Callithrix jacchus: one gene and its partner. The protein of the gene in region 1 purifies or fractionates together with the protein of each later gene. This does not show direct contact. Links are inferred from orthologs where the notes say so. Each region holds a gene or a part of one and is shown in the gene's direction. Other genes may lie near its edges.

Evidence for each region.
Region 2: the proteins of DNAJC11 (region 1) and ARMC1 purify together in Homo sapiens (affinity purification with mass spectrometry; 4 studies listed by BioGRID and IntAct, counting the BioPlex papers as one, with this or other methods). This does not show direct contact. The link is inferred for Callithrix jacchus from reciprocal best matches to the Homo sapiens genes DNAJC11 and ARMC1.

Annotation. Positions count from the first base shown.
Region 1 is NC_133508.1:44,553,262-44,557,083, reverse strand, and holds part of DNAJC11 (dnaJ homolog subfamily C member 11), read left to right. Parts: intron 1-1,674; coding exon 1,675-1,803; intron 1,804-2,786; coding exon 2,787-2,909; intron 2,910-3,822.
Region 2 is NC_133517.1:21,485,011-21,488,832, reverse strand, and holds the end of ARMC1 (armadillo repeat-containing protein 1), read left to right. Parts: intron 1-543; coding exon 544-660; intron 661-744; coding exon 745-819; intron 820-1,487; coding exon 1,488-1,679; 3' UTR 1,680-3,586; downstream 3,587-3,822.

The DNA of each region.
Region 1 (3,822 bases):
AACCACACTCGGTCATTTACTGCGACCTGGCTTCTTTCCCACTTCAGTAGCAGAGGTGAATTGCGACAGCAGACTGCATGGCCGACAGCACCAAAAATCTTCACTCCGGCTCTTCACAGAAACCATGTGCAAAGCCTGATGGGTATCATTCAACAGGCACAGAAACATTGTAACAGGGTGCTCAGGGTGCTCTCTGACAGGCTCTGCATCACAGGCCACCTGTGTTTCCCATTTTCATATGTATTTGGAGTTTCCTAGGGATGTGGCTGACCATGGGCTTGACAGCTTCAGCCATCCCACAGGCCAAGGCTCTGGCCACCACTAGCTACGCCATGTAGCAGCATCTGATACTTCCCCACTACTGAGGCCAGGAGTAAGCTGCACCTCACCACTGTCAGCGCACACCACACACACCCATCCTAGAAAGGGAGCTGCCTCCTGCAGTTCATCTGCAAAGAAACGGCAGAAGAGTGGTGGGCTCTCACCGGCTGTGTCCTAAAGCCACTGTGCGCCTCACACGTGAGATAAGACCATGGCAGATGCTAGAATTACAAGTGACAGTCCATCTGCAAAACCGACTCTGGCATAAAAGTGAAAAAGCTGGGCGAATGGCTAAACCAACAGAAACAACAGGTTAAACCCCACCTATGACACTCTAGAGACCACCCACACACCATCTGAACTCATCTGCCATTGCCCCGTCTGCTCTAGCCCTAAGGCCTCCTCGCCTCTCCACTGGGTGCCCACAAGGGTATTCTCATTTGATTTTTTGTTCCCACACCCCCTTCTCAGAAGCCCCTTTCTTCACCACTTAAAATACTCTCAAGCTACTTAGGGGGTGATAGAATTCACCAGGTAGTTTCACCAGCGTACACATGTCAAAAACTCACGGAATTGTGTACTTCAGATGGGTGCGGTTTATACTGCAATACATAAATTAAACCTCAATTGATTTTTTTTAAATGGGCTGCAAAAAGTTTCATTTAAAATGTGTGTGGCCATGGTTTTATACACTGGATTAAGATACATGTCCATTTTTAAAGTTATGACTATAAAAGAATAATAATAAACATTGATTTTCTGAGTGACAAGCGTTTTTATCAGCAAAATTTTAGCTTAGAATTCCTTGAGTGAACAGTGTTCTGTTTCTCATAACTTAATTCTCAAGTTAATTTGAGAAGGTGGATTAATTTTTAAGTCTCCCATTTGTTTGTAATTAGTGCTGCTTCATCTTGGAAGACGTTTTTATTTAAAGAGTGTTAGGGTAGTTTTGTGGTATAAGGGTGTTTACAAAAAAGTGTTTAATCCATACAGCTAATTTCTAGGTGGTCTTATGCATTTCTGGGTCCTGTTTGGTCTGAAAATCAAACCATGGAGCTGTTACTTCTCTGACTAGCACTTTGTGTTTGGCATGTCATTGCTCTGCAGACAGGCAGACCGGCTTTCCCTGTCAAATGTTTTCTAGCTCCGGACGTCTGTGGTGCTCTGCGGTCGTTTGGTTCAGACTGTGACATTCATGCTTTGTGGGCTTCCTAGTGGAGTGTCCTACCTAAACCAGTGCACCCTGACGTCTGATGACTTGTTCAGTTCAAGCAAGCTGGCTGTTAACTGTAGTATTGTCTTTCATTCTGCAAATACCACCCCTTCTGCTGACGGCTTATTTTTCTGCCCCAGGGAACCATCAGTGTTGGAGTAGATGCCACTGACCTTTTCGATCGCTATGACGAGGAGTACGAAGATGTGTCCGGCAGTGGCTTTCCACAGATTGAAATTAATAAAATGCACATATCCCAGTCCATTGAGGTAAAGCACACAACCACCTCTCTAAGTACAGCAAGGGCTCGAGTTAATGAGGCACAGCACACCAAGCAGCTAGAATGAGAGTCTGCCCAGGGTTTTTCTCATCTTTATTTATGAAAAGATGCAATTAGCCACTTAAAAAAGAAAGCGCTTCAGTCCCAGCCTCGTGTTACTGCTGTGCTGGCATGTGGGCCCGCAGGAGTGTGGGCTGGGGCGCTGGGCTCCCAAGGCCTCGGGCCTTTCCAGCAGAGGGTGTGAATGGTCTGGGAGAAGTAGAGGCCCAAGGTCATGGGGTTCTGGGAGAGAACGAAGACTTCCGTGGATCGTTCTAACAACCGCTTTTAGTTTTAAGGCAGATTCTGCTAGGAGCCGTAAGGCTATAGCAGCTCCCATCCTGAGCCCTGGGCACATGAAAATGTCACCATTCTGCCCACTGTTTGGATGTGGCAAGGTCAGGCCATTCTCCTGAGCATTTATAGTAGATCTGTGTCTCCTCAGTTCATTAATTTATTATCAAATGCATCAACCAACAGTGTGAAGTCCTAACTTGGGGAAATTTGCCCCCACTGGAGCTCCCCAAGTCAGTTAATACAGAATACAGCTATGGCAAGGTCTTCAATCCCCCCAGAACCCTGATGGCAACCGAGGACAGGAGAGGCCCAGGTGTACCACAGAGGGAAGGCACACAATGAAGTCCCTATGCAGTCTGATACCATTGGGACATGCAGCCCCATGTTTCCCCTGGTGTGGTGAAATTTGCCCATTCAAGCTTCTGCAAAACATATTATCCTCATGGTCACATGCAGACCAAATAACAAAGCGGAAGAAAAGTCAAGCTGCTTCAATAATCCTGCATCCATATGTCCTTCTGAACAGCGGAGTCATCTGCACCTTTGGCCGTGGGCTCACAGTGTGTTCTTTGGGCTGCTGCCATTGGCACTTTCTGTTGTTTTGATTCATTTATTACCAGCAAATATCATTTTTAGGCACCCTTGACAGCGACAGACACAGCCATCCTCTCTGGAAGCCTCTCAACCCAGAATGGGAATGGAGGGGGTTCCGTTAACTTTGCGCTCAGACGAGTAACTTCCGCAAAGGGATGGGGAGAGGTAAGAACGTCTGTTGGCTGAGTTATGTTGTCCGTGCAAAGCCTATTTCCGAACATTTACACTCTCAAAGTTCACCCCCAGAGCCACCCAGGGGGCCCCGTTGTGGTGCAACATGGTACCAAGTATCAAACTTCCATAAGTTGACTGGCACTAAAAGGAAAATAGGTCTCATAAGCCTGGCCAACACGGTGAAAACCCGTCTCTACTAAAAATATGAAAATTAGCTGGGCATGGTGGCACCTGCCTGTCATCCCAGCTACTCGGGAGGCTGAGGCAGGAGAATTACGTGAACCCAGGAGGCAGAGATTGCAGTGAGTCAAGATCACACCATTGCACTCCAGCCTGGGAGACAAGAGCAAAACTCTGTCTCAAAGAAAAAAGAAAGAAAAATATGTCTCATATCTGAAAAGTCCGTCAGTCTGCCTCACAGTTTAAAATTAGGATAGAAAAACAAGGTTTCCTATGAGATGCCAACTTCCAGAAATCCAGGCCCTGCAACTCAGCATGTTTGTTCCCTTTGAGCAAAAAGCCTATGGGCTAACTTTTCCCTGCACAATTCAGAAGGCAGGTGCTCTCTTCAGTGCAATGGTTCACTGACTGGTGGCCATGTAACCGCCAGTTCTGCCGAACAAAGTGAGCTGCATCAAATTAACATTGAAGGGTTGTTTGAAAGTCACCCAGACAAGTAAACACAGCAGCCAGGCTCAGCTGTGACTTCCAAGGCTGTGCGAGTGTGGAACTGCTGCTGGGTTTTAACCTCAGGCCCCTGAGGTCCACCCTGGTCACCTGGGAGACATCTGGCGCAGGAAGAAAATAAAAAGCCGGGCGCGGTGGCTCACGCCTGTAATCTCAGCACTTTGGGAGGCCGAGGCGGGTGGATCACGAGGTCAGGAGATCAAAACCATCCTGGTCA
Region 2 (3,822 bases), on another chromosome or scaffold:
TAGTTTTCCCCTCCCTTGAGTTAGAAAAACCTCGCTTTTCTGCTTTTTGGCCTTTTTTCCCCTGCATTGTGTTCCATTTGTTTTGTTTTGAGACAGAGTCTCACTTTGTTGCCCAGATTGGAGTGCAATGGCACGATCTAGGCTCACTGCAACCTCTGCCTCCCAGGTTCAAGCAATTCTCCTGCCTCAGCCTCCTGAGTAGCTGGGACTGCAAGTGCGTGCCACTATGCCCAGCTAATGTGTTCTGTTTTATTTAAGATATAATTTAACATTGGCTAACTTCTTTCTGATAAAAATTATTAAAACTCCATACTAGTATTGAAGCTTTAAAAATTTAGCAGGAATTGCTATTCTGTTGATTTGTGAAATTAAAAAAAAAAAATTTTGACTAAGCACCCCCACTCTATGCCCTGATGTAAGACGTTAAAATCTGAAATAGTTCGTTTGCTCTCTTCACCCCCTCCCCAAAATATAGTGTGGTTTTAGCTAATTTATTACCTTTTATATGCCTGTTTTCATAACAGTTTGCTTTTATTTTTTCAGTCTCGGAGAAATCTATGTGAAGAGGCTTTGTTAAAAATTAAAGGTGTTATTAGCTTTACTTTTCAAATGGCTGTTCAAAGATGTGTGGTGCGAATCCGTTCAGATTTGAAAGCTGAGGTAAGTATTTGAAATGGCTGAATATGTTTGAGATTATAGGTAAACAAATAAATTTCAAAATTTTTCCTTTTTATCCTGGCTTAGGCTTTGGCATCAGCGATAGCATCAACCAAGGTTATGAAAGCTCAGCAAGTTGTGAAAAGCGAGAGTGGAGAAGAGGTAAAAGTTATATTTAGTTTTCTTTATATTGAACTCGCTCTCAATTATTTTTTATGGCTAGCAGATTGCCAGTATTTCTAAATAAATAGTGCCGAGTATGTAAGGATGTGTTGTTTCTTGGTTAATAGTTAATTGTTTTAGAAGTAGATCTTTTGTGGATATCAGAGTCTGCTCTTGCTGATTTTATATGGAAATAAAGGATACATGGCTTTCTTGCATTTATCTTTAAATACTTTCTTCCTAACCTTAACTAATCTTGACAATCCAAAAAATAAAGGTATAACAACTGGGCAAATAAATAGGATGAAAATCCTTGTCTGTTGCTACTCTTTTCACTAGCTTTTTGATGGGAGAAACAAATCTATGCCTTGAGCTCATTTGAGTTTCCAGCTCATAGTTGGGAGTTCCATGGCTCTCCAGTGGCCTGCAGTGGCTAGACACTTGCTTTAGTCACAATTACCCAGACAGAGGTTGCTCATTTACTCCTAGAATTTCAGCAGATTAACTTCTGAGTTCTCATGTACTCTGCTTACTCCCTTCTGTACTTACACAGTGCTTAGCAGTTGGGCCTACTGTCATGTAACAGCAAAGTTTACCCTGAGAATAACCACGGTAATTAGGGAGTAAAGTTGATTTTATAATGACTCTTAATATATTTTCTGTATCAGATGCTTGTCCCATTCCAAGATACTCCTGTGGAAGTAGAACAGAACACAGAGCTACCTGACTACCTGCCTGAGGATGAGAGTCCCACAAAGGAACAGGACAAAGCGGTGTCCCGGGTGGGATCACACCCAGAGGGTGGAGCTAGCTGGCTGAGCACAGCTGCAAACTTTTTATCCAGATCATTTTATTGGTGACTTCAGTTTGGGGCTCAAGGACTGTGTGAACCAACAAGGGGCCAGTTTTCCATTGTTTTGGTGAACTGTCAAGTGCAATTTGCAATAAGTTATCATGGAAGGTTTTTAGATTACGTGATTGCATATGCTGCATTTTACATTTCATTGGACATTTTACCCCACTGAGTGGTAAAAAGGACAGTGGCTATGGATGGAGTTGCTTTGTTTATGAAAGTATTTTGGTTTTGTTTTCCTTCATTTAATTGCCTCATATTTTAAAAACCATGGGTCCACTGTTGAAACCAAACATGTGTGTGCAGCTTTACATTTTATTTTACATGAAGCACGTGATTAGGAAAACTCGTTTTCTCCTCAAGCCTCAGGACCTACCTGAAGAAAAGTTTTCTTGTAGCTCAAGTTGTGCATGAATTACTGAATATTTTACTCTGCTTTTCTTCATGAAAGTTACATGCTTTGGTACTCCTCACTGAAAGCTGAAAACATTTCTTGTTACCCTCTTTTGTGCCTTTTTATTTTGCCAACCATGTTTATAGAAAGGACATTACTAATGACATTTTGAAAATTAAAAACATTTATTTGAACATGGTAGTCCCTTAGAAAAACAACTCTACAGAGATTTTGCAGCCTTATTCATTATAATTTTAATAAAATTAACACGATCAGTCAAGAAGAAGGAAACATGTATGTTAGTAAAGTGTTTTTGGAGACTATTTGAATGTGACTAAATGTGGTTCTAGTTGACTTCTTTTCACTTTGGTTTCTATCAGCTCTTGAGAGTTAAGTCCAACCACGATATTGCAAACAACTGTAAATGGTCTCTAGGCCTTACTTTGTGTTACACGTTATCTCCTGATAGAAAAAAATAATGATAGTAAAGAACTGACAAACTGAAAAAAAAAAAAAAAAATCAAATGCCTATAATAACATAACGCCACTTTGGTGTAGAGTCTAACTGTAAGACATGAATTGCTTGACCGAAGCCTATTCAGTAGGTGTTTCTTTGTATTGCCTTTCGTGAATTTATTTTGAAAATGCTGCAGTTGCATTGAATGATAAAGACCCAAATTATTGCTTAAGAAGAAATAAAACCAGCATTGATCACTTAATCCTGTTTCTCATGTCCAGCCAGAAAAACGAACTTCAGTGAAGGTAAGATAAATAAATACATATACATACAATTTTTTTTGGTAGATGAGTGCTAATTTACATATATGTAATGCTTTATTAAATTTCTGAAATATTTAGTAACAAAAGTTTTCTTTTTGGAAATTAAATCCAAATACATTTTAATGTTGATATGACTGAAAATGGGAAGAAATTGGAATTCCTTTTCATCAACATGTAGAGTTGCTATTTTACTATTTGGAGAATGCAATGTGAAAATTGGACCCCAAAGGGTTTTCTTGTGTTTTCATTGTAAAATACCATCACCAGTGAGAGTCTTGAGTTCACTAACATTGTGACCTTCTGGAGGGAGAGTTATAGGGGGTATTGAGGATGATTTTTTTCATGTGTCTGGTTTCCGATTCAAGTGACATGCACAAACTGAAAAACAAAAACAAAAAACCAAAACTCTGAGGGCGCCTGTTGCTCTAAACGCATAATAGAACTTGCTGCCAGACCAGATGTGTTGAAAAAGGAAAATAAAACCACCTTCTTTCTAGAGCCATTAAAGCAAAGTTTACTGTTCTAACAAATTTGTATTTTATTTTGCTTTGCCACACATCTGCTTATTTAAAAACTACATCCCTTTGGTAGTAATGGTTCAGGACAAGTAGGTATTACTGCTTGATGTTTGTGTGTTTGAAGTGTGTTCTTTTATTCCAGATCATATAGAGCAGTTAAGGCAACTGTAACAGCATTTTTTGAAATACATTGTAAAATAATAAAAGGTAACATAATTAAAATTGATTGGATATTATGTAAATGTGGTATAAGCATCACTAATTACTCCTTTTATTTTTAAATTTTATTTTAAGTTCTGGGATACATGTGCAGAACGTGCAGGTTTGTTACATAGGTATACATGTGCCATGGTGGTTGGCTGCACCTATCAACTCGTCATCTAGGTTTTAAGCCCCTCATGCATTAGGTATTTGTCATAATGCTCTCCCTCCCCTTCCCTTCATCCCCCGGACAGGCC